4 linked regions of the Arabidopsis thaliana genome follow. The protein of the gene in region 2 interacts with the protein of the main gene of each other region in a biochemical or structural test. Each region holds a gene or a part of one and is shown on either strand. Other genes may lie near its edges.

Region 1 (4,834 bases), on a different chromosome or scaffold from region 2:
ATTCTTGTTTAACACTGTGTTTTGTAGAGTTAAGAAGTGAATTTGAATGTCCAGATTTTGAATCTCTGATCTATTTGTATGTATGATTGTGCCCAAGTCAAATATTATCAATGTGGACAGTGGAGGAGTATAATCTTGTTAGAAAGAAGAAAGTCTTATGTTGGGAGATTTTAGTTATAAGTTATTGTGTCGCTGATCAGATTTTACTTTTAGTTAATGATGTAGAACACCTACACGATTACGAGGTATCAACAGCATTCTGATTTGCAATAAAGCTTGATCATTTGTGAGGATGGAACCGCAACATACCGATGATGTGTTGAAGTAATTCTCATTTATTCAAATTTTTAGCTTCTTTGTCCCCCGTAATCTGTTTACTTAATTTACCCGTTGTTAACCTTTTTTAATTTTTTTTTGTCAAAAAGGCATTTGGAGAAACAGACTGAATTACTCAAAGAAGCTCAAAAGAACATGTTGCAAGAACTCCAAAAACTTGAGGTATGATGAATAAAAAAACTCTTTTAATGAGCTTGTGATGTGTAGTTAAAGACCAGAGATCGTTAAACTTGTGATTTTATCTTTTGTTTCAGGTTGAACATGAGACGATGATGCGTAAACTCTATGAGCTTATGAACACTCATAGTTTAAATAAAAAGGTAATGCTCTCTTCTTGAACATACTTTTCGACAGAGAATAACGACAGGATTTTCGAGGACCTTAAAGACCGTGTGGTTGAGTGCCATTACGTCTTGATTTGATTTATTCTCACATTCTTATCATTGTGCTTATGTATTGGTTTTGCAGAAAATGGAGGAAACTCAAAATGTGTTGGAGGGAAGAGAAACAATTGAAGCTTCATCTCCTTCAACTGTAACTACTAATGATGAAGAACATTGAAGAACTCAACTTTCTATGATAGACCGGGCCGGTTTTGGGCCGGGATTGAATGGGCCAAAGATTGGATCTTAGGTTTGAAAATTTTGAATCTATCTTTACAAAGAATCTGCAACCTATGTACATGTATAAATATGTAATTTCTACATCTAAAAGCAATCAAATAATAATGTCATAACTCATAAAGTAACATCAATTGCTTGCAAAAAGAATGGAGATCCTCCAATTCTCTTGGTGCTCAAAACATTCCTCACCAAAAGTTTCCATCTTTTCTCATCTTTCCTGCTCTGTGTCTTCATCCTCTCTTTCAAACTACTGCAAAGAGGGACTTTGCATTGTTCCGAGTCTACGCAAATGCGCGAATGAAGCTCAAGAAGCTGCCACATTCTCTTGCAACGGCTACAACCACCAGGGATTGATCTTAGTTTGCATCCCGCCAAATGTTTCAATAGCTGCTCTAAACCATTACACGCTTGAAATCCGCATGACATATGCGGGGTTTCGGTCTTTGTTGGACCTATTTCTCTGCATCCATCTCTACATATATGAACAAAAGCCTCCATTGCTTCATAGAGCTGTGTATAAGTCTGTATCTCCTTCTGTTTCCTGTTTCTTTGCTTCAAGCTCTGCAAAGACAAAATTTTGAAACAAAAATCATCAGAAAACTGTGAAAGTACAAGACTTTGGGGTAAAGAAAGTTGTTAAGATTTTGTATAATTACATTAAGCTCGTAAGCGACAGAGCGTAAAAGCTCTTTTTGAAGTCTAGGATGGCTCTCTTTCATTGCTTGCCATCCTTCAGAAGTAGAAACTTCTTCAAAGTTGTTTAGAATCATTCTATGACAGAGAAGACCGAGACGAGGAGCATCACATAGAAGAGCTAGCTGAAACACATCAATCACATTCTCTTTGTTGAGCAAACTACTTTCGAATTCTGATTCGCAGACTCGCTTCAAATGCGGTACAACGTAGACATGTGATAACACAAGTAGATGTATTGCAAAATCCTCCATATCTTGTTTCTCATAGCTACAAAAACAGAGCAAGAAACAAAATGTTTAAGTATGTATCCCTAAATGTTTATAGCCAAAGATTTGTAAAATCCAAAACTTTTGCTACTTACCAAGAAGAGTATAAGAATCGAATGAAAACTCGAAGAGCGTGGTGAGGAACACCGAGGATTGAAATCGATTTACGATGAGATTTTCTCTTATGTTGCTTCATCATTCCTCTGATTACATCTGAAGCCATTCCCTAATTAAAGTTTAACAGATAAAACTTCATTAAGATTCAATACAAAAAACAATGTTACTGATTTTTCTAAGCATTGGATTAGAGAACTTACGATGACATTAGAATGTGCGTAAATCAAACCATTATCATCAGTATGAATCAAAACATCAGCTCCATGAGCTTCGTCGAACATACGATCCCATGAATCTCTCGTAGCTTTAGAAACAAAGCTATTGCTTCTTTGCATAAACAGATCCGTTGACTTCTTCATTGGAGGAGGTGGTGGTGGTGGTGCTAAAACATTCTCCGGTGAGAAATCGTCCATGTTCTCCATATCTCTTCTGTAACAGGTTAGGGTAAAAAAAATCAGATTCAGAATCTGTATGAAAATGCATAGGAGATCAAATATTGGATCTAAAGAAAGAGAATTTAACAAATTTTACGAATTTCAGTTTTATAGATCTAAGAAAAAAACACAGAAATATTGACGACTTACAGATTTTAAAATTGGATCAGTTTATAAATTTGGTCAACTTCACCACTAAATTATAATGATTGTTCTGGGTTTTATCCTTATCCTCTGTTGATAATATCTATTATCTTCGGAATCAAAAATGGGAAAATTTGCCGACGAAACAGCGGAGAAATGAGATGTGTTGTGTGTTTTCAAGAATAGGAAAATAAGAGAAAGAAGAGAGCAAAGCGAGCGGGAGACTATTTATAATGGTCTAAATTGATTAATTGGTGGAAAATGTGAACACGTCGAAATGGGACCCACACGGAGAGGATCAAGATAAGTATTTGCTGATTCATATACACGTCGGACGAACTTTCCTAAGCACACACTTTTTTTAGTTTTATTCTATCCAAAAACAAATATATGCCTTCACATTATATCCAAGTCTTTAATCAAATATTGGCCTTTATCCAAATGTTCTGCTTTATATTTAATTATCCATTGTATAGTTGTTGGCGACGACGTATATTTGGAAAAGGTACACACATTTCATATTAAGATGTATGGTTGTGTTAATGGATATCCATTAATTAGTCCTACAATTTACCCTTTTTTTTAGTGGATTGATGGTTTCGACGGTGCAAATTAGAGTAAAACAGATAAAACAAACGACATAAATGTAGTTCGTACATAACGGATAGTATAATAAGTAAAACGAGTAAAATAAAAGTTTAGTAATTATGGGAAATTAGTATTCCAATTTTGACTATTTTATTAATTCCAAATACTTAAAACGGGTATTTTAGATAGTGTCTGATATATATAACTAATCGACAATTTTTTTTAGAATCAACAAAATACATTGCTAGCCGCATTTGAACTACCGTATTTTGGGGTTGGTGTACGGTCCAAGCGGTTCACAAAACATGGCAAAAAGGGTAATAAGTTGCATTGTGGATAATACGTTATCGATATTGATTAATATGATTATAAAGTCTCTTCTATTTAATTAGAATATTCTACATGTTTGAAATGAACCGTCCAAATATATTATACCATGTTAAATGTCAGCGGAATAAAATAACCTTAAATTATTTTATCAGGGAAAATTAGGTCTAGTTTAAGATTTGGTAATACTAATACTACAGTGTCAGATCCTAGTCATGTATTTGTATATAAAACACATGATAAAAGAAGGAGTCAGCTAAATAAATGTTGAGCTCGTCCATGTTTATATTCTTATAATGAAATGATGATAGTCATGTAATGGTTTCGTTTTCATGAAATTATTATCTTCGTCCAAGTTGAAACATTTATTGTTTTGAAACAACCATTCATCAACCCACGGAACTGCTACGAGCCGGAGTCGCACCATACCCCTTTATGCGATGGGCAATGTACCATTTCAAAGACCGACAAAGATTAGGTAAGATTGTGATAGGTAATAATAGGTTATGGTAATATCTTTTTGTTTCATTTGTTGGATTATGTTGTGTAAAACGTCACATTGCCTCTTCGCGACAAATTAACGATTTAACCATAGAGTATACGAAAAGTATGATTAAACAAATGAAAAAGCGGTAATTTAATAACGAAATTATTAGTCGCTGACTCAGCCTCAAAAAATAATAGAGCTCTTTTGATAGATACTTGGTCACGAATCTCTCAAGTTGCTGGCACGCTCACGCTGACCTCTTCATATAGTTCATGAGGCACTTTCTCTTTTACGATTGCTAATATGACAAATTAGGGGAAATTATTAACAAGTACAACAATCATGCCTATAACAGCTCCATCACTAAAAGTAAAAACTAATTTATTTCTGTGTCCGTGAAATAAATAACTATCGAATATGTCTAAACACGTCAACAAATTGATTGTGTTTTGATTTTAAAACGTGTATGTTCAACGTGGTCTATTAAACAACTGACATTTTATTCACTATTTAGCTAATTTATCTATCATCATATCAATACTTGTAGAGTTGTCGTTGTAGAAAATTAATGAATTGTATACACTTTGTTTGTTCATTTTTTTTTTTTTTTTTTTGTGCGAAAGTTGGTTTTCATTAGAAATTAAACATTTAAACCGGAGTCAACCGGGTACAAAGACGAAATTGAAGCAAGACCCAATTTTGAAAGGGCATCTGCAAGTCGATTTTCATTTCGAGGGATAGAGTGAAACCTAACAAACCCAATCTCCGACGCGAGGAGGAGAATATCGTGTAGGATTCCATGGAGCTCCGTTAATG
Region 2 (6,214 bases):
ACTATGGATATTGAAATCGTTATAAATCAATTACGATAATTATTTACCTAGTGGCGGCGATTTCTAGACAAATCACAGCTTTACAGATCTCACCCTGATAGAAAAATCAAATTCTCAACACATAAGGAAAAATTATAATCAAAGTACTCGATGTGAAACTTTGGGATTCAGAATCGGATTTATCTTACAACGCCGATGATGGATGAATCGAACTGAGCATCGCAAAGACGGCGGATCTCTGCAGCTTTTCTGATTAAAAGCTTGTTGTTATCGAGACTAAGTTTCCTACCTATGTCGGAGATATCCATATCCTTAATTTTCCGGCGATTGTTACAAGACAAAGAACCAAAGTCAGACACTGTGAGAGATTTTTTCCCCTAGAAATGTCAATGGAACCGATTAGGCTATGAAAACGCTATAAACAAAGCGTTGCCAACGTTTGGCGGGATTTTTTTACGCCTGGTTGAAATTTTAGCCGCGAATGTTTTTTTTGGCTCTTAACCGTTTAAAATGGGCCTTAAAAGGCCTCGAGCCGGCCCAACGTGTCCAGAAGCTGAAATCACATACGGTATCTGATGAAAGACAAAAGAAAAGGAAACAAATGTATATTCGATTAAACCGGTAGTGACGCTGTGTTGGTTCGTTCTTACCGACTACCGTACAGTTCAAAAGATTTTACATCAAACATAAGGAAATAAAGCAAAGAAAGAAACAGAGTAAAGCCTTTTTTTTTTGGGTTGTGGTATTCAACTTATTTAGGCTAGATAGCGGTAAAGTTTCCGGTCTGTACTATCCCTTTCCAAGAAATCTCGTTCAATGAGCGACTCGATTCTCTTCTTTATCTCCGTGGGATTAGCTAGGAACCGTGGCTGCAACTGTTTCGTCACCTCGGCGATTATGTTGTTGTGGTCTAGTATTTTCCTGGACTTCATGATCCTTACGATGGCTGCTTCAATCTGAGGTTTTCTGTCTTCCTCCACTCTCTGTCTCGTCTCTTGCTTCTCCGGTTCTGTTTCCTTTTGGGCAACCACAGTTCCGATCTTCACTTTGTAAAACTTGCTAGTGAACTTGTCGTTCACAACGAACAAATCCTCCTCTCCTATGTCTTTGCTCATGGGTTCTTTCTTTATCACGTTTTTGCCCTTTACACAAGCTAGCGACTGCAAACAGCGTTTAAGATCTGCTGCCGGGATTTCTGTAGCCTGTTCGATCTCTTTGTAGCTGAGTCGATCAGAATTGTTGAACAACATGAGAACACACATCTGGAAAGTCGACACGTTCAGTTCATGTTTCTGACCCTTTCCAAAGATGGCTTTGATATCTGCTGTGCCCATGTTTGTTTGCCAGGACAATCTTCTACCGGTATGTGTCCCAAGGTAGTAAGAACGGAACTTCTCACAGAGAACTGAAACTTCAGCTGGGAGATTACAAGGTACTGCAGGCTGTGTTGGCCAAGAACCAGTTGTAAGTACCTGAACAATAAGTGTAGGTCCTTCTGAAAGCTCGGGGTGACTGCCATAAAACCCACGCATTGTGTCCTCTGAAGTCTTCATGTCAGTGAACATGCCTTCCAATTTTGAAGTGAACTGATAGCCACATTCTGTCTTTAGTTTCACTATTAAACTCCTTTCTGCGTCATCTGACACAGTTTTGCCTGAGAGAAGCCTTTTAGCCAAATGCTGCTTGTAGTACTTCTCAAAGACATCTTTCTCTTGTAAATAACGGAACAGCATCATCACTTTATCAAGGATAACCTCAACATCCACATCGGTGATACCCTTAAGTCCTTTCCGTAGCTTGTCATCAACAAACAGGGAGATAAACTCAGGAGAACGAGCATTCAAGTTGATGAAATACTCGAATGAAGAATTCAGGGCATTCTGAAAGGTTTTATCATTGCCAAATGCGGTGTTGATGATTTTGTCATATTTATCCCGCTCATCCAATAGACGTTGTACAAATTCCACCGGATCCTTTGACTTTTCCGGATCAGTAACCAGTTGTTTTCCCATCTCCCTAAGATGCGAAGTCATAACGTCTCTGACAGTAACAAGACCATTAGTAACCCTGCGAAACAAGTTGTACATTCTACCCAAATCCTCATACTTGTCATTCAGAAGCATATTAACCAGACCTGAGTTCTCCATGTGAACCAGTCTCTGCATGTGGTTGGCAATCATCTCTTTCTCAACCACACTAGTAATCTTCTCTTCGCTCTTGGCATCTAAGTAGTGCGCTACCCTCTCTATCTCTTCAGTAAGGCGTTTCTCTGATTTCTTCAGATAGTCCCCACAATCACAAGATTCAATAAACTCCTGAGACTCAACCTTATAAAACTCAGAAGACGCATCCAAAAACGGCTTCTCAAAATCCTCCTGATACACAGATTCACCCAAATCCATAAACATCTTAATGACATTCCTCATCAACCCCCTATCAATAACTTCACCTATCCGTTCCTTCTGCACTAGATCAAGAAGAGTGTTTAGAAGCCTTGTATGTATCTTAGTGAAATGCACAACATTATCCCTCCACAAGTTAAGCCCCATCGGATGAACATGAGTCTTTTTGGTGCTCTCAATATAAGTCCTATCCATATACATGAGAATGTCTCGAATCATCTCTAACGCTTTGTTGTGCTCATTCCATTTCTTATTAAGCTCTTCTAGAAACGACCCTCCCTGAGCTGCCTCGATAAGCTTGGATTTTTCTTTGAGATGAGAAGTCATAGTAGCAATAAACCCAGTATATAGCTTCTCACCAAACTTGTGCAGGACCATGTTGTACGCATTTCTGAGCCACAATATACACAAATAATTCCATTAACACGAAACCTAGCTAAGTTCCAGAAACATTACCAGTTTCTACAGGATTCAAAGAAAGGCAAGAGAATGAAAGAAATTGACCTGTAAAGTTCTTCGAAACTGAGACCGCTAGCATCTTGATTGTAAATCTGATGGATCGCACGCTCAAGAATCTGCCAAGTTTTATCAGCGTATTTGGGATCCACAACGACTCGATGCTTAAACGCCTCTATCTGAAAATTCCTCTTCTTCTGATTACTCATATTTTGAAACCTGAATCCAAAACAAATCAATCTAAATTCACACAGCAACGAAAAAATTGACGAGCGAGAAGAAAGTATATATGTATAATCATAATGAAAATCAGGTGGATCGAGGAAATCGGAAGACTGACCGGAGAGGAAAGACGGATGATCGGGATTAGGGTTTGGAATTGTATTCTTTGCTTCCGTGAAAAGATTTGGGGGAAACAAAAAGATAGGAAATGGAATAATAATCGAAAAGTTTAAAGGAGAAAGAAGCTTAAGGCTAATTTGCAGCGTCGAAGAGATATAGATAGAGAGGTATCGGAGAAGATAGATTTCGAAGGTGGAGAAGAAGAAGAGGACAGACCAAACGGAGCGGAAGAAATAAAAGTGGACTCTCCGTCTCTGCTGGTGGTTTCCAAACTATAACGTATTTATTAAATTAAAGTCGCGGTTGTCACATTCTCGTCCTTTGGTATATTGGTTACAAAGAATTGTGAAATATCGAAGTCCAAGGATCGATCCCTAGTCGAAGCCAGTTATTTTTTTTTTTTTGACATTGGAGGTTTAGTTAGCTTTTATACTTATGTGGATATGACAAATTGGCACGTCGGTCATTTCATTTAATTGAACTAAAAATATGTCAACTTCTATTTCATAAAGAGGCTTTGAATCCCTTAGAGTGGCGAATGTTGCTTCTCCTCTTTTGGCAGAAGCCATGGCGCTTCATCTAGCCCAACAAAATGCCTTAGAACTCGGTTTTAGGAAGTCACCTTCGCTTCAGATTTGCAAACGCTGATCAAAGCTATCAACTCAGAATCCTTCCCAAAGAATCTCTACGTGATTTTCCAAGATGTTCTTGCTCTTTCGTTTAATTTCGATCAAATTTCTTTTCACTTCATTTTTAGAGAAAAAAACGGTTGTGCATATGCATATGCAAAATCTGCATTAAATTATGCACTTATTGTACCAACTTATGTATCGGTTTAAGTTTCGGTTTAATGAAATTTCAGCTTCTTGACGAAAAAAAAAAATCCCTTTTAATTCATTCACAAAAAAAGTTATATCGTCTGTTACCTTTCTCTTCACCAGTTTACCAACCTTTGTTGCTTGCATTCACTGTTTCGATGCCATATTCAATCGTCTCTATGCATCTGTTTAAAAAATGCATTTCCTCCACAACTTCAGCGACACTATGTTCTAACTTCTAACTAGTTTTTGTCGTTGTAAACACGTCAATGGATCTTCTTCCTTATCCCTGGTCAAGCTCATGATGATATTCTTTGTCTTTGCTTTCTTGAAGCCATTTTCTGGAAAGCAACGCATGGTATATACCATCTTTCTTGTTTTAATCATACAAACTTTGACTTGGACCTATCTTCTTACTTTTCATTGTATAATCTACAAACTTTATAACAATCTTCACCTTCCCTATAAGGTTAACCCAACTAGTGGATTATTCGTATCCACCTCAAGCGCCAAAACATGGTAAGGATCATTGGTAGATTTTAGTATGATTGTGAGGTAGGATCATTGCCGGCTCAAAGTTATGGGCGGTCTAAAGTTTTTTTTTTTTAATAAAAAAATTAGCAGAAGTAGTTGAGGGAACTCGAACACACAACCTCTTGGCTGAAAATGTGACATAAATCGCTGCACTGTAAGGAATTTTTATAATTTTATTGCCCCCAAATATTTGTGATACCTAAGGTTCTTGCATAAATGCAGAACTTGATAGAATACGGTACACACTGGAGTCTGTAACTGTAGAAGTAGAACCAAGTAGCCAACATGCGCCTCATCAAGAAACTTGACGTACGTTTCCGAGACGGGACAATGGTTTGATTTATGCCTTTATGGGTCTTTAACACTTTATGAGAAACAAGGATCTTTAAGTGGATTTAAATATTTAAAATTTAAGAAACAAAGGTCTTTAAGTGAATACTATAAGAGTTTCTTTATTTATTTTTCCAATCGAATACTCATAATTTTATAAATACTGAGACACATAATATTCGGCTAGCTCTAAAACATTGGAGCTGGAAAGTTTGCCTTACGTTACGTTAATTGGAGCTACAAAATACTCATAATTTTGTAGTTGAAGCATGATGAAAAGTTTGCCTTACGTTATTACTTTTTAAAGCATTGGAGCTGAAAATAAAATGCTTGCACGAAATACTAACCTAACACAATTAAGCAAACATATACCAATCACACGTCACGTCTCTCTACCCAAAACAAAATATCACACTTCACGTTATATGACTTATATAAACATATTCTAAACTATTTATCTATCATCCATCCTTCATTGGTTTTCGACAAATTTGATTCCCACAAATTATTTGATATCTTGAGGAAATGAAATTCTTCATTTTTATTCTAGCGTTACAACAACTCTACGTACAAAGTTTCGCCCAAGATTTCGATTTCTTCTACTTCGTTTTACAGGTAATTAAAGTCGATAAATGTCTCTACAAGAATTATCATTGTACTTTGAAATTTTATGTTTGTGTATGTGCGTTGCAATGCAGTGGCCTGGAGCGTATTGTGATTCAAGACATAGTTGTTGCTATCCACAAACCGGTAAACCAGCTGCAGATTTTGGAATTCACGGTCTTTGGCCTAACTACAAAACCGGTGGATGGCCGCAAAATTGTAATCCTGACAGTCGATTTGATGATTTACGGGTTTGTTTTTAACTTATAACACAATAGTTTTTGTATTTTGGGACTTCGGAAATTATTAACCACAAGAAAAGAATCGTAAATAACTAATGAGAATCGAAAACTTTTATAAAGGTTTCTGATCTGATGAGCGATTTACAAAGAGAATGGCCAACGTTGTCGTGTCCGAGCAATGATGGTATGAAGTTTTGGACACATGAGTGGGAGAAACACGGTACGTGCGCTGAGTCCGAGCTTGACCAACACGATTACTTCGAAGCTGGTCTCAAGCTCAAACAGAAAGCTAATCTCCTTCATGCCCTTACCAATGCTGGTACAATATTCACTTGTTTTGCCCTTCATTTTGATCTCCATTGTTAGTTATGTATAAGTGGATGTTCTTTTCTTATTATATTTTGTGTTGCATGATGTAGGGATCAAACCGGATGATAAATTTTATGAAATGAAAGATATTGAGAATACGATCAAACAAGTAGTTGGG
Region 3 (5,249 bases), 1.6 Mb from region 2:
AAAAATCATTATGATGGGAACCGTTTGGCTTTGAGTATCCTTCGAAACTCGTATGATTGGAGGTGAAAATAATTTAGAGATTGATCTGGTAGTCTCGTGAATGTGTTCAATTACAAAATTGAGAAACGAAAGGTTTTTAATTTATTCATATTGAACTTGTATTGATGCTATCACTGAGTTTCAAGGTGAAATTGTGAGCTATTTATTGATTCTTTTGTGAAAGAAAGAAACTTGATTTCATTGGTGCTTGTTTGTCACAGATGCTCTCACTATACCATCTGAGCTTGAATCTGCCTTGCGGCTCAGGACTGTACAATACTTTATTACAAAAAGGCCTTGGCTTGGTACATCTCTAATCATTTAACACTCATTCTCTTGTCTGTTTTCATCTTATCAAGAATTGGGTTTATGGTTTGTAATGAGTTACATTTTACAGATCTTTATGGAGTCCATGTGAGGCCTGTGCCACCATTCGGAAGTACAAGCCGTAAACCTCATTTTGATCCAGCTTTGATTCATCGTTGCTTGCCTGATGAGCTTCTTTTCGAGGTTGGAGCTTTCTTTATACTATGTTTTGTCATTGTACTGAAATTTGTTTTTCTTATGTACTGGAGAAGTTGATTCTTGGATATGTTACTTGTAGGTGTTTGCTCGGATGATGCCTTATGACTTAGGTAGAGCATCTTGTGTTTGTAGAAAGTGGAGGTACACAGTTCGAAACCCTATGTTCTGGCGTAATGCCTGCTTGAAAGCTTGGCAGACTGCTGGGGTTATCGAAAACTATAAGATCTTGCAGTCTAAATATGATGGATCATGGAGGAAAATGTGGCTTCTTAGATCCAGAGTTCGTACTGATGGTAATCTTTCTTTCTTCATCCTCTTGCTTCACGACATTCTAGCGCCAAGTGATTGTTTTCTTTTGTATGCTCTGACTAACATCGTGTCTTGTTATATCTTTATTGATTAAAGTAACTATGTATCTTCTTCTCAGGTCTTTATGTGAGTAGGAATACTTACATTCGAGCTGGAATTGCTGAGTGGAAGATTACAAATCCAGTTCACATTGTAAAGTCTTTGTCTTTTTCTTTCTTTTCTTCTTCATCTGTCCAATACAGACACATATAATAATCTGCGTCTTCTTTTGGAAAATTTGTTGCAGGTTTGTTACTACCGCTACATAAGGTTCTACCCTTCTGGCAGATTTCTTTACAAGGTTTGCACTCTTCGATATAAGTAGGTATAAACGTTGAGCTACTGGTGGGATCTAGTCTGATAATGATCCATCCGTATTTGTTGTTATTCCTTCAGAACTCTTCACAGAAATTGAAGGATGTTGCCAAGTACATGAACTTTAAGGCTTCTAAATCTGAAAATCTTTACAAAGGCACTTATACACTGTCAATGTCGGATGATAAGGTTAGCTCCCTCTACTGCCTTTTGGCTGGTAATCAACAACATTACATCTTCATAATCCTGATTACTGAAAAACATGTTCTTTTTGCAGATCGAAGCAGCTGTTCTGTACCCAGGGACACGCCCTACTGTCTTAAGGATTCGTTTAAGGTACTTCAATCCCTCAAAATATGTGGATAGAGAAGACTTCTTTTTAGTAATAGCATTTAGAACCTTGGTCTGGCATTGGGAAGAAGGCCTGTTACTTATCTTTTAAAGTACCGTGTCTAGTACATTCATCTAAGACTTATCTGATCCGGTGAATGTGATGGGGTTGAAATTTTTAGTAGCTGATAGTCATTTTGATCTTCTTGGTGTGGATATGTTTTCGGGTGTGGTTAGGTTAAGAGGAACAGCTATTGGAGCGAATAACAGGATGGATTTGCTGTCACTTGTGACAAGTGGTGTGAACGATGAGGAAATAAGCAGCACAGAAGAAGACATTCTTGGGTTAGTTGAAGGTTGGGAAGACGATGAAACTCACAACCCGGATATACCTGCCGTCTCACACAAGAGGGGTATGACTGCATTCGTCTTCGTTCCTTTCGAAGAGGTAAGTAAACTATAAATTATTGTATACTCTTCCCACCTATAATCTTAGTTACATTGATTTGATCTGAATATCTTCCTTGATGTTATTAGGTTGACGAATCGGTTCTGAACTTGCCACCGGAGAAAATGGATTACTATGTCACTGGCTAAAGAGACACATCGAAGTTTCTGTACAAAAATGTATCATAGAATAATGTTTTCACGTTATATTTATTGTTACGACAAACATTAGTGTTTGTTTGTTGCTGTCGAATTGTGAAAAACATACATTTTGGGATTTTTGTTTGTTTACAGAGATTACTTGAAACAAGCTTTACTATTGTAAGATAATGTTTTCAAGTTTTTATTATACACCAAAAGGCTTTAAAGCAGGACTTGATCAGATGCTAGACTTGAGGTTCTTGGAATCATCCTCTGAGTGAACCAGACGCTGCCACGTTGGGTTTCGATGAAGAAACGTTTCCTGCAAAACACGACATATTTTCATAAGAATCTGATTCATCTCAATTTTTTGAGGAAAGAAGAGATGTATACGGAAACGTAGGAGCAAGTGGGGATGATGGAGAAAGAGTGTTCAGAGGCGTGTTCGAAAGCGGCGACGCATAGATGCGAAGCTAAACCAAGTCCTGCTTTTGACGGCGGTACGAAGGTTCGAACCAGATCCATGACTTTACCGTCATTCTTCATCTTGTACTCTATGAAGGCTTCGTGATCATCAGTCTCGAATCTATGTCTTCCTTCGTTCCACACGATCTTCGGTTTCTCCGTCGCCGTCCCCGTCGCCATTTTATCTGTTATCTCTCTAAGTCTAAGTCCACTCTCTTTCATTTCAAACCGAGAATTGATTTTAATATATCGTTAGTAAACCGGTTTAATGGATAAAAACGTATAATCGTCGTACACGTGGCAGGCGATGGAGGCGGCAGAGTGTTTTGCTTGCTTCGTCGTGTTATTTGGCGTGAAGTAAAGAGTTCAGAGAGAAAAGGAAGTCAAAACTTCAGAGAGAAAGTGGATGGGGGACACGAAGGTAGAGACAATCTCGAGGTTAGCTCAATGGAGAATTGAAAATTTTGGTCCTTGTTCTTTCAAAAAGTCCGATCCTTTCAAAGTCGGAATTTGGAATTGGTAAGCTTTTCATTTTTGGTTTATTTTGGTAAATTTTCTTCGGAATTTTGATTTTTGTTTGTTTTGGGATATGATGAAGGCATCTGTCTATAGAGAGGAATCGCTATCTATCAGTGAGGCTATTCCCAGAACTTTCTCGAGTATCTAAAGAGCAACCTCCTGTTGCCAAATTTGTTCTTCGTGTCTCCAACGTTGGCCCCAATCGTAGATTCTACATCTCTCCTGGTATGTCTTGTCTTTGAATTGACTTTTCTGGATTTGGAATTTGAATTCTATTGTCGAGCTCGAATTAGGTATTTCAGGAAAGGGAATTACCTTTTATGTGGGAACTATATTCAATTATGTGGAATCTGAAAGATATTAATTTAGATGTTAATGATTGGCTGATGATTAGTAGTACCTTATGGGATGGTTACAACTGAATTAGGTTTGTTTAAGCTGAGATACTCTGTTTATTTGGTGCAGTTTATGAGAAGCTGCTGCGTACAACTGATGATTGTGTGTGGCATGTTGACTCCAGTTTCCACGGTCGATTCACCATTGATGTTGAGTTTCTTGATCTCAAAATCTGCCCTGTGAATGTAAGCTTAATGATTCTATTTATACTCTCACAATTTCTTCTCTTTGTAACATTTGTACTTCCATGGTTGATCAAATCAAATCATAATCCAGGGTGGTGAAGCTTCTCCTGTTTGGCCAACCGATGCAACAATGCAATCAATCTCTACTCAAACCACTCTCAAATGCTTATCCCGGATGCTAGAGGAAAGCATACTAACCGATGTAATCATCCACACAGCCGATGGAACACTCTCTGCTCACAAAGCTATCCTCTCAGCTAGCTCAACTGTTTTCAAAAGCATGTTCCACCACGACCTCATGGAAAAGGAATCATCCACAATCCACATAGACGACATGTCGAGAGAATCTTGCATGGCTCTACTAAGTTACCTCTACGGAAACATAACCCAAGAAGAGTTCTGGAAACACAGGCTCGCCCTCCTCGGCGCTGCAAACAAGTACGACATAACGGATTTGAAAGCAGCCTGCGAGGAGAGCCTAATGGAAGATATAAACTCGAGTAATGTGCTCGAGAGGCTACAAGAAGCTTGGCTTTATCAGCTGGAGAAACTGAAGAAAGGGTGTTTGATGTATTTGTTTGATTTCGGAAAGATTTATGATGTCAGAGAAGAAATCAGCAGTTTCTTCAGGCAAGCTGATCGAGAACTGATGCTGGAGATGTTTCAAGAGGTTTTGTCTGTGTGGAAACCGGTCTAATATACACTTACACACATACTTTGAACATTTCAGCTTGATGGTGTTTTGTTTATAGTCTTCTTGTTCTCTTCTGTGTGTGTAACTAACAACAACTCTGGATTTTGTTGTATCACTCTGTCTAATGTATAGTATTGAGTGGATTTGCCTCTAGTTTGGTGTACCGAGCCTCTCAAATGGGCCGAGCCTTTCAAATGGGCTGTGACTAGGCCTAATGACTGTCGACATCGAATGTCGGCACAAAATATGATAATTTTGTCGATGTTGAAATCGTACGTTTTTTGTTTTAATTAGATGAGTCAGCATCAGGAGGATGAAGTATCGACCGACACGTGTCCGTTGCGTCCCAAAGTAAAGCTTATAACGTGAAGGCATTTGTATCGTCTCTTCCGCCAAAATTGGAAATGGATATCGAAGTTTGAGCTAAGAATCCAATTTAGGGTTAACTTTGCCGGATTCTCAAGCAATCTCCGAGAGAGACAGTGAGGTTTCGATGGCGAGGAACGGGATTGGGAGTTCAGGAGGGAAGAAGAATGGGGCTGGGCAGTTTTTCTTAGCGACGCTGCTTCTTTGGCTTGTCTCCGTCGTGTTTGAGATTGCTTTCAATCTCCGGACGGAGCTTCTCTGGGTGATTTGCGGTGGATGCTTCTTTCAATTGATGAATTGGGTTGTTCGTTCATGGATTTCTCGTGACCCTATATTTGTTAATACCTCTGTCTCGCTTTTGCACTCAATCATCACCTCCGCATCAGGTCCCTTTCTCTCTTCTCTTATATTTGAGTTCTTACTATAGGATTGTGCTCTGTTAGTGGGGAAATTTTATCATAGGTGTGCACATTGGTCGT
Region 4 (5,807 bases), 7.6 Mb from region 2:
TCTTTTTAATCTTGTGTTGTTACTGACTCTAGTTTTTGTTGTGTGGGTGTTGTTGGTGTGTGTTATGGATATATATATGATTGGATTAGAGAACGACTTCGATTTTACTACGGCTTTGGTGGGGGACTCATTAATTGGACTACAATCCAAAAATTGTCTATGTTCCGTGGCGACCAAGATGTGCGGAACAGTGACCGAGGTCGATGATAATGCAATTCACCGATATATGTTGACATAATTGTTTTAGTTTATTAGTTTATCGTTAGCATGTGACTTATGACATGTGATATATCAATATGTAACTCGCAACATACGTACGTGTATATCAGATTCTTTTTGTCATCTTCCCTGAGAGAGAGACACTGCATCTCAGCCTCTCAGCTATGTATTACTGTTGATGTCATTGCTTATGCAATCCGAATCCAAATTGTAAAATCAAAGAAAATTTTCTATTTCTTTCTATTTACATTACCTGTTAATTCGTCCCCAAATATTTTTGATGTCACTCATTATTACAAAGGAACAAAATAAGGAACCGAAAACAGAAATAATGGGAAAAAAGACTACTTCGACAACTTCCGGCCTTTTTATATTTAACGCCGTCCCACTTTGGAACCCAATCTATCCACGTGGAGCTCTATCACTGGTCATTCTTAATTCTCTGGAGTTCACAAATTTATGCAAGAAAATAAAAAAATTGATTTTGACCGCCTCCGAGTCTTTTTACAACTTTTTAATTCGAATTTTGATAACATCTATATATACATTTTTGGAGCTATTTTAGTAAATAAATCCTTAAGTTGGGACTTATTTACAGTGGATGTCATTGATATTTAATTATTATAACTAATTAATATTCTTAATTATTAGCATTTCTTTATCTAATATATTTCCATCAATTCTAATTACTTTTAAAAAGGAGAAATCTTAGGAATTTATTAATATTATACTTTATTAAAAATAAATATTATAGTTAGTTAAACATTTAAAATATTTAACGGAAAAACGTTTTATAATATTTATAATATGTGAAATGTATAAAAATTAAATAATCATTTGAAATAAAACTTTTAAATTGATGTGAATTATAAATTTTTTAATAAAAATATTATTCAAACAAAAAATAAAAAAATAATGTTTAATTTTACCGAACGAGATTAGATGATAAGACGGGTTTATAATATTTATAATATATGAATTTTAAAACAATTAAATAACCATTTAAAATAAAACTTTTAAACTGATTTGAATTATATATCTTTTAAATTAAAGTATTATTAAAACAAAAATAACAAAATAATTTTTAGTTTCGCTGAACGGGGTTAGATGGTATGACGAGTTTGGGTCGATAGGTAATACGAGACAGTATAGCATGGGTGAAATCTATTAGATATGTTTAATTTCACTGAACGAGATTAGATGATATGACGGCTTTGGATCGATAATAATACGAGACAGTATATCATGGGTGAAATCATATATATATATATATATATATATATATATATCAAAATATCATTATATTAATAAAATTAATATAATTAAAATTTGAATTATTTAGTTATAATCTAAATTTTAACTTAATAAACTGTGTGTTATTCTTTCTATATTGTTAAACAGTAAAAAATAAACATAGTAATTGTATACTAAATAATATATATATATATATATAAGAGTTGTACATTTAGAAAATATTAAAATGAATTATATTTATTTAATCTACTAAACAAATTAACTTTTTAGTTTTTAAAAAAGATATAACCCCGCGGTATACCGCAGATTAAAATCTAGTTAACTGATAATCTTGCTGCATAATATAGCCACCACTAAATTTACGGTTTACTATCAGAAATCTGTTTTGTTCTAAATTAAATTAAATTCCAAGATCTTTATTTTCCTTTACTTGACACAATCGTTTAATTATTTGTCATTTTATTTTCTTAATTTTTAACCTAAATTAATTAAAAAAAAAGATGACTTGACCCTTATTTCATTATTTGTATCATATTAATTGGTCGGTCGTCGGTGTTATATTTTCACCGGCTAGTCGGTAAAGATAATGTGCTTATATTTGGTGACAAGGATTCACTAACTTTGATCTTTGGTGCAATTGAAGATCAGCCATATGTATTTCAACCTTATATTATCCCCCAAATCATTCCAACTTTTATTTTATAAACATTCGTGGCCTTCATTTTTCCACTCTGTTGTTTTCTCATACTTTTAATAATTTCTTTTGCCCATTTGTCTTTATCATTCGAAGAACTCAGAAACAACTAACTCTTCATTCTTGATTCTCCCACTTAAACGACGGCGTTTTTGCTTAACGTTTATGTATGCAAGCAAATTTACATACTTTTCGTGACCTTTGGTTTCTGTGTTGTGTGATATTTACTACGAAACCACTTGTCACCAAAGGTTCTTCTTTCTGTTAGCGTTGGGTTCGTGATTCCAAGATCAATGGTTGTGAACTTCACTAGTTAGAGATACTGAATCAAAGAGATGATTCTTCCGAGAATTGGGTAAATCTTCGATTCTGATTTTCTGGGTAAGAATGATCAAGACCCTTCCTTTATTTTCTTTTTTTGTTCTTGCCTAATAATTCTTATTCTCTGAATTTGATTTCTTTCTTTTAATGACTCAGAATCTTCCGTATTGGATGTTTTTGTTCCTGTTCTTGATAATCTCTTTATGACTGTATCTCTACCTCTGGATTCTCACTGTCACTGATGTTCATGTCTAATGAAGCTTCTTTAATTTAGTCTTGTTCGTGTCACTGTTCGATATTTTTAAATCAAAAGTTGCTAACTTTGTGTCAATGATTTGCTTAAGTAGGACTATTTTGAGTTTATGGACATTTGATTCTTAAATTCTGAGGTTGCATCAGATTAGGGAACTTGAATCTTGGTTACTGTAAATTTACTAGGAGAAACCTGAGATTGACTATTAACTCTGATATATAACTTATGTTTGCTTCTTGCATTTGATCTTAACAGATTAAAGAACACGTAACCTATTTTCAATTCGCGGGTTTGATTCCATAGCTTCTTCAGATCATACATTCTCGCAAGTGTTCGATACGGGAGTAGAAGAAGAAGAGTCTTTCTATGCTCCTGATCATGATGTCTTGACTCTGCTTCAACCTAACTTCACCAGCAACGATGTCTAGTAGTACCAAGAACATTCCAAAACCTCCTCCTCTTCCTTGTATTACCTACCAGCGTTTTCAATCTAGTACAAGGAAACCTTCGAGCTTAATGCGCCTTGTGCCTAAAGAAGCACTTGAAACTTGGGATAAGCTTTTCAAGGAAGGATCTGGAGCAGATACATATGTTGAAACCGATAACAAGTCTCACTTTCCTGCCCATTCAAGTGTCCTGGTGAGTTTTATTAACTGGTAATTGAGCTCATTTTCCGGGCTTACTGATCAATATTACAAGGTTTTTGTCTTCTGCAGGCTGCAGCCTCACCAGTTATAGCGACACTTCTGAATCAATCGAGGGATAAGAATGGGAATACATACCTCAAAATCCATGGAGTTCCTTGTGAAGCAGTCTACATGTTCATTAGGTTTCTATACTCTTCCTGGTATGTTCTATGTGTTACAAATGCTTTCGTAATGCTTGTTTCTCCTTTGAACCATGCCTGATATTAAAACCTACAGCTACGAGGAGGAAGAAATGAAGAAGTTTGTGCTCCATTTATTGGTTCTGTCACATTGCTACTCGGTCCCATCTCTTAAAAGACTTTGTGTAGAGATTCTCGATCAAGGATGGATTAACAAGGAGAATGTGATCGATGTGCTTCAACTAGCGAGAAACTGTGACGTGACAAGGATTTGCTTTGTATGTCTTTCCATGGTCATCAAAGACTTCAAATCTGTATCTTCAACAGAGGGATGGAAAGTGATGAAACGCTCTAATCCTTTGCTCGAACAAGAGCTCATTGAGGCAGTCATCGAATCCGACAGTAGGAAACAAGAAAGAAGAAGAAAACTGGAGGAGAGAGAAGTGTATTTGCAGCTCTATGAAGCCATGGAAGCTCTTGTCCACATATGTCGTGAAGGTTGTGGGACAATTGGACCTCGCGATAAGGCCCTTAAAGGAAGCCATACCGTGTGTAAATTCCCGGCGTGTAAAGGGCTTGAAGGTGCGCTCAGACATTTCTTGGGATGCAAGTCTAGGGCTTCATGTTCTCATTGCAAAAGGATGTGGCAGCTTCTTCAGCTTCACTCTTGTATCTGTGATGATTCTAATTCTTGCAAAGTTTCTCTCTGCTGGTAAGTTATATCGCACATTTCAGACAACGCCAACAACCTTAAGATACAGATGGTAATCGTTTTCTTAACCTTGTAGGAATTTCAAGGAGAAAATGAAGAAGCTTAGCAAGAAAGAACAATCTAAATGGCGATTGCTTGTAGAAAACATTATTAGGGCGAGGAACAGTCTCGGGCCCTTCTCGTCACGTTCTTCTGGTTTGATATAGAAACAGGTTTTAGATTTTAGTGTATAGCCAGTTAGACACAAAAAGAAAACGTACATAGGCGCAGGGTATAGTGTATATTGCGCACCAATACGGCGCACAATAGTGGTTTTGAACAAACATTGTCTATATCAAGTTGGTTGTTATATACATGCCGAGTCGTGATTCGTGACAGTAATGTGAAGAAGTTTTTGCATCATCACTCATTTTATGTTAGAAATTCAAATCAATAATATTGGTCCTAAACGACTTTATTTAGAGGCAGACAAAAAAGATATACATTAATGTTATTTATATCATGATTGTCATGACTTAACATATTTCAAGTTGAGTTATCTAGTGAAAATATATATATCCTAGTTCATGAAAAATGAAAATCAACCTTCTTGAGTGTTATACTTCTTTTTGTAAGGATAATAATTGATATATACGGCGGGTCTCTCGTTGACTTTTGATGGTGATTTGACTTTGCAATGTCACCAAGAGCAAGTAGCTAATTTAAATCACTTTTAACTTCCAATTTGTTTATGTTTGGTCTTCAGACTTTACGTCAGAATAATTATTTTTGTGTCTTTAAATGAAAACTTCAAACTTCATCACATCAAAAATCTCAACCCCATTTTTAGTTGTCTTCTTTTTCCTTGTTTTTCAAGAAACCAGACGAAAATGGAAGAGTTTCGTTTTCTCTATTTGATATATTCAGCAGCATTTGCATTGTGTCTCGTCGTTTCTGTTCTTGCTCAAGACCAATCAGGTTTTCTTAACTGATTCATTTATCTTTCAAACTATTTTCTAGTGAAGAAAGTCTAATCCTTTATTCTTTTCATAACTTTAACTCGTTGCGTGATCACAGGTTTCATAAGCATCGATTGTGGAATTCCAAGTGGATCATCGTACAAAGACGACACAACAGGTATAAACTACGTCTCAGATTCATCCTTTGTCGAAACCGGAGTCTCCAAATCGATCCCTTTCACAGCTCAAAGACAGCTTCAAAACCTGAGGAGCTTTCCCGAAGGTTCAAGAAACTGCTATACATTGATTCCAATACAAGGGAAGGGCAAGAAATATCTCATAAGAGCTAGTTTCATGTACGGTAACTACGATGGAGAAAATGGTTCACCGGAGTTTGATCTGTTTCTTGGTGGCAATATTTGGGATACCGTCTTGCTCAGCAATGGGTCGAGCATTGTTTCCAAAGAAGTCGTTTACTTGAGCCAATCTGAGAACATATTTGTGTGTTTGGGAAACAAAGGCAAAGGAACTCCATTTATCTCGACTTTAGAGCTTAGGTTTCTCGGGAACGACAATACGACATATGATTC

What was found.
Region 1: the proteins of CUL3 (region 2) and BT5 form a complex in vitro, tested with the Arabidopsis thaliana proteins (one study listed by BioGRID).
Region 3: the proteins of CUL3 (region 2) and AT1G21780 form a complex in vitro, tested with the Arabidopsis thaliana proteins (one study listed by BioGRID).
Region 4: the proteins of CUL3 (region 2) and BT3 form a complex in vitro, tested with the Arabidopsis thaliana proteins (one study listed by BioGRID).

Annotation. Positions count from the first base shown.
Region 1 is NC_003075.7:17,669,533-17,674,366, forward strand, and holds BT5 (BTB and TAZ domain protein 5), read right to left. Parts: upstream 2,822-4,834; 5' UTR 2,623-2,821; intron 2,468-2,622; 5' UTR 2,461-2,467; coding exon 2,239-2,460; intron 2,148-2,238; coding exon 2,017-2,147; intron 1,923-2,016; coding exon 1,616-1,922; intron 1,521-1,615; coding exon 1,074-1,520; 3' UTR 949-1,073; downstream 1-948. Other genes in the region: AT4G37608 (uncharacterized protein), read left to right, coding at 293-324, 426-498, 591-656, 805-897. UniProt on the Arabidopsis thaliana protein: May act as a substrate-specific adapter of an E3 ubiquitin-protein ligase complex (CUL3-RBX1-BTB) which mediates the ubiquitination and subsequent proteasomal degradation of target proteins.
Region 2 is NC_003070.9:9,292,916-9,299,129, reverse strand, and holds CUL3 (cullin 3), read right to left. Parts: upstream 3,566-6,214; 5' UTR 3,199-3,565; intron 3,078-3,198; 5' UTR 3,068-3,077; coding exon 2,907-3,067; intron 2,794-2,906; coding exon 756-2,793; 3' UTR 501-755; downstream 1-500. Other genes in the region: ORC6 (origin recognition complex protein 6), read right to left, coding at 48-94, 189-308; RNS3 (ribonuclease 3), read left to right, coding at 5,408-5,497, 5,581-5,736, 5,848-6,046, 6,147-6,214. UniProt on the Arabidopsis thaliana protein: Component of the cullin-RING ubiquitin ligases (CRL), or CUL3-RBX1-BTB protein E3 ligase complexes which mediate the ubiquitination and subsequent proteasomal degradation of target proteins.
Region 3 is NC_003070.9:7,649,460-7,654,708, forward strand, and holds AT1G21780 (BTB/POZ domain-containing protein), read left to right. Parts: upstream 1-2,467; 5' UTR 2,468-2,538; coding exon of another isoform or gene 2,539-2,790; 5' UTR 2,791-3,016; coding exon 3,017-3,129; intron 3,130-3,208; coding exon 3,209-3,354; intron 3,355-3,594; coding exon 3,595-3,710; intron 3,711-3,801; coding exon 3,802-4,407; 3' UTR 4,408-4,555; downstream 4,556-5,249. Other genes in the region: FBP7 (F-box protein 7), read left to right, coding at 53-62, 261-344, 437-549, 644-857, 992-1,065, 1,160-1,213, 1,309-1,416, 1,505-1,563 and 2 more; AT1G21770 (Acyl-CoA N-acyltransferases (NAT) superfamily protein), read right to left, coding at 2,384-2,467, 2,539-2,790; AT1G21790 (TRAM, LAG1 and CLN8 (TLC) lipid-sensing domain containing protein), read left to right, coding at 4,898-5,156. UniProt on the Arabidopsis thaliana protein: May act as a substrate-specific adapter of an E3 ubiquitin-protein ligase complex (CUL3-RBX1-BTB) which mediates the ubiquitination and subsequent proteasomal degradation of target proteins.
Region 4 is NC_003070.9:1,704,648-1,710,454, forward strand, and holds BT3 (BTB and TAZ domain protein 3), read left to right. Parts: upstream 1-2,088; 5' UTR 2,089-2,548; intron 2,549-2,996; 5' UTR 2,997-3,161; coding exon 3,162-3,380; intron 3,381-3,457; coding exon 3,458-3,588; intron 3,589-3,664; coding exon 3,665-4,279; intron 4,280-4,355; coding exon 4,356-4,485; 3' UTR 4,486-4,713; downstream 4,714-5,807. Other genes in the region: AT1G05700 (Leucine-rich repeat transmembrane protein kinase protein), read left to right, coding at 5,149-5,236, 5,336-5,807.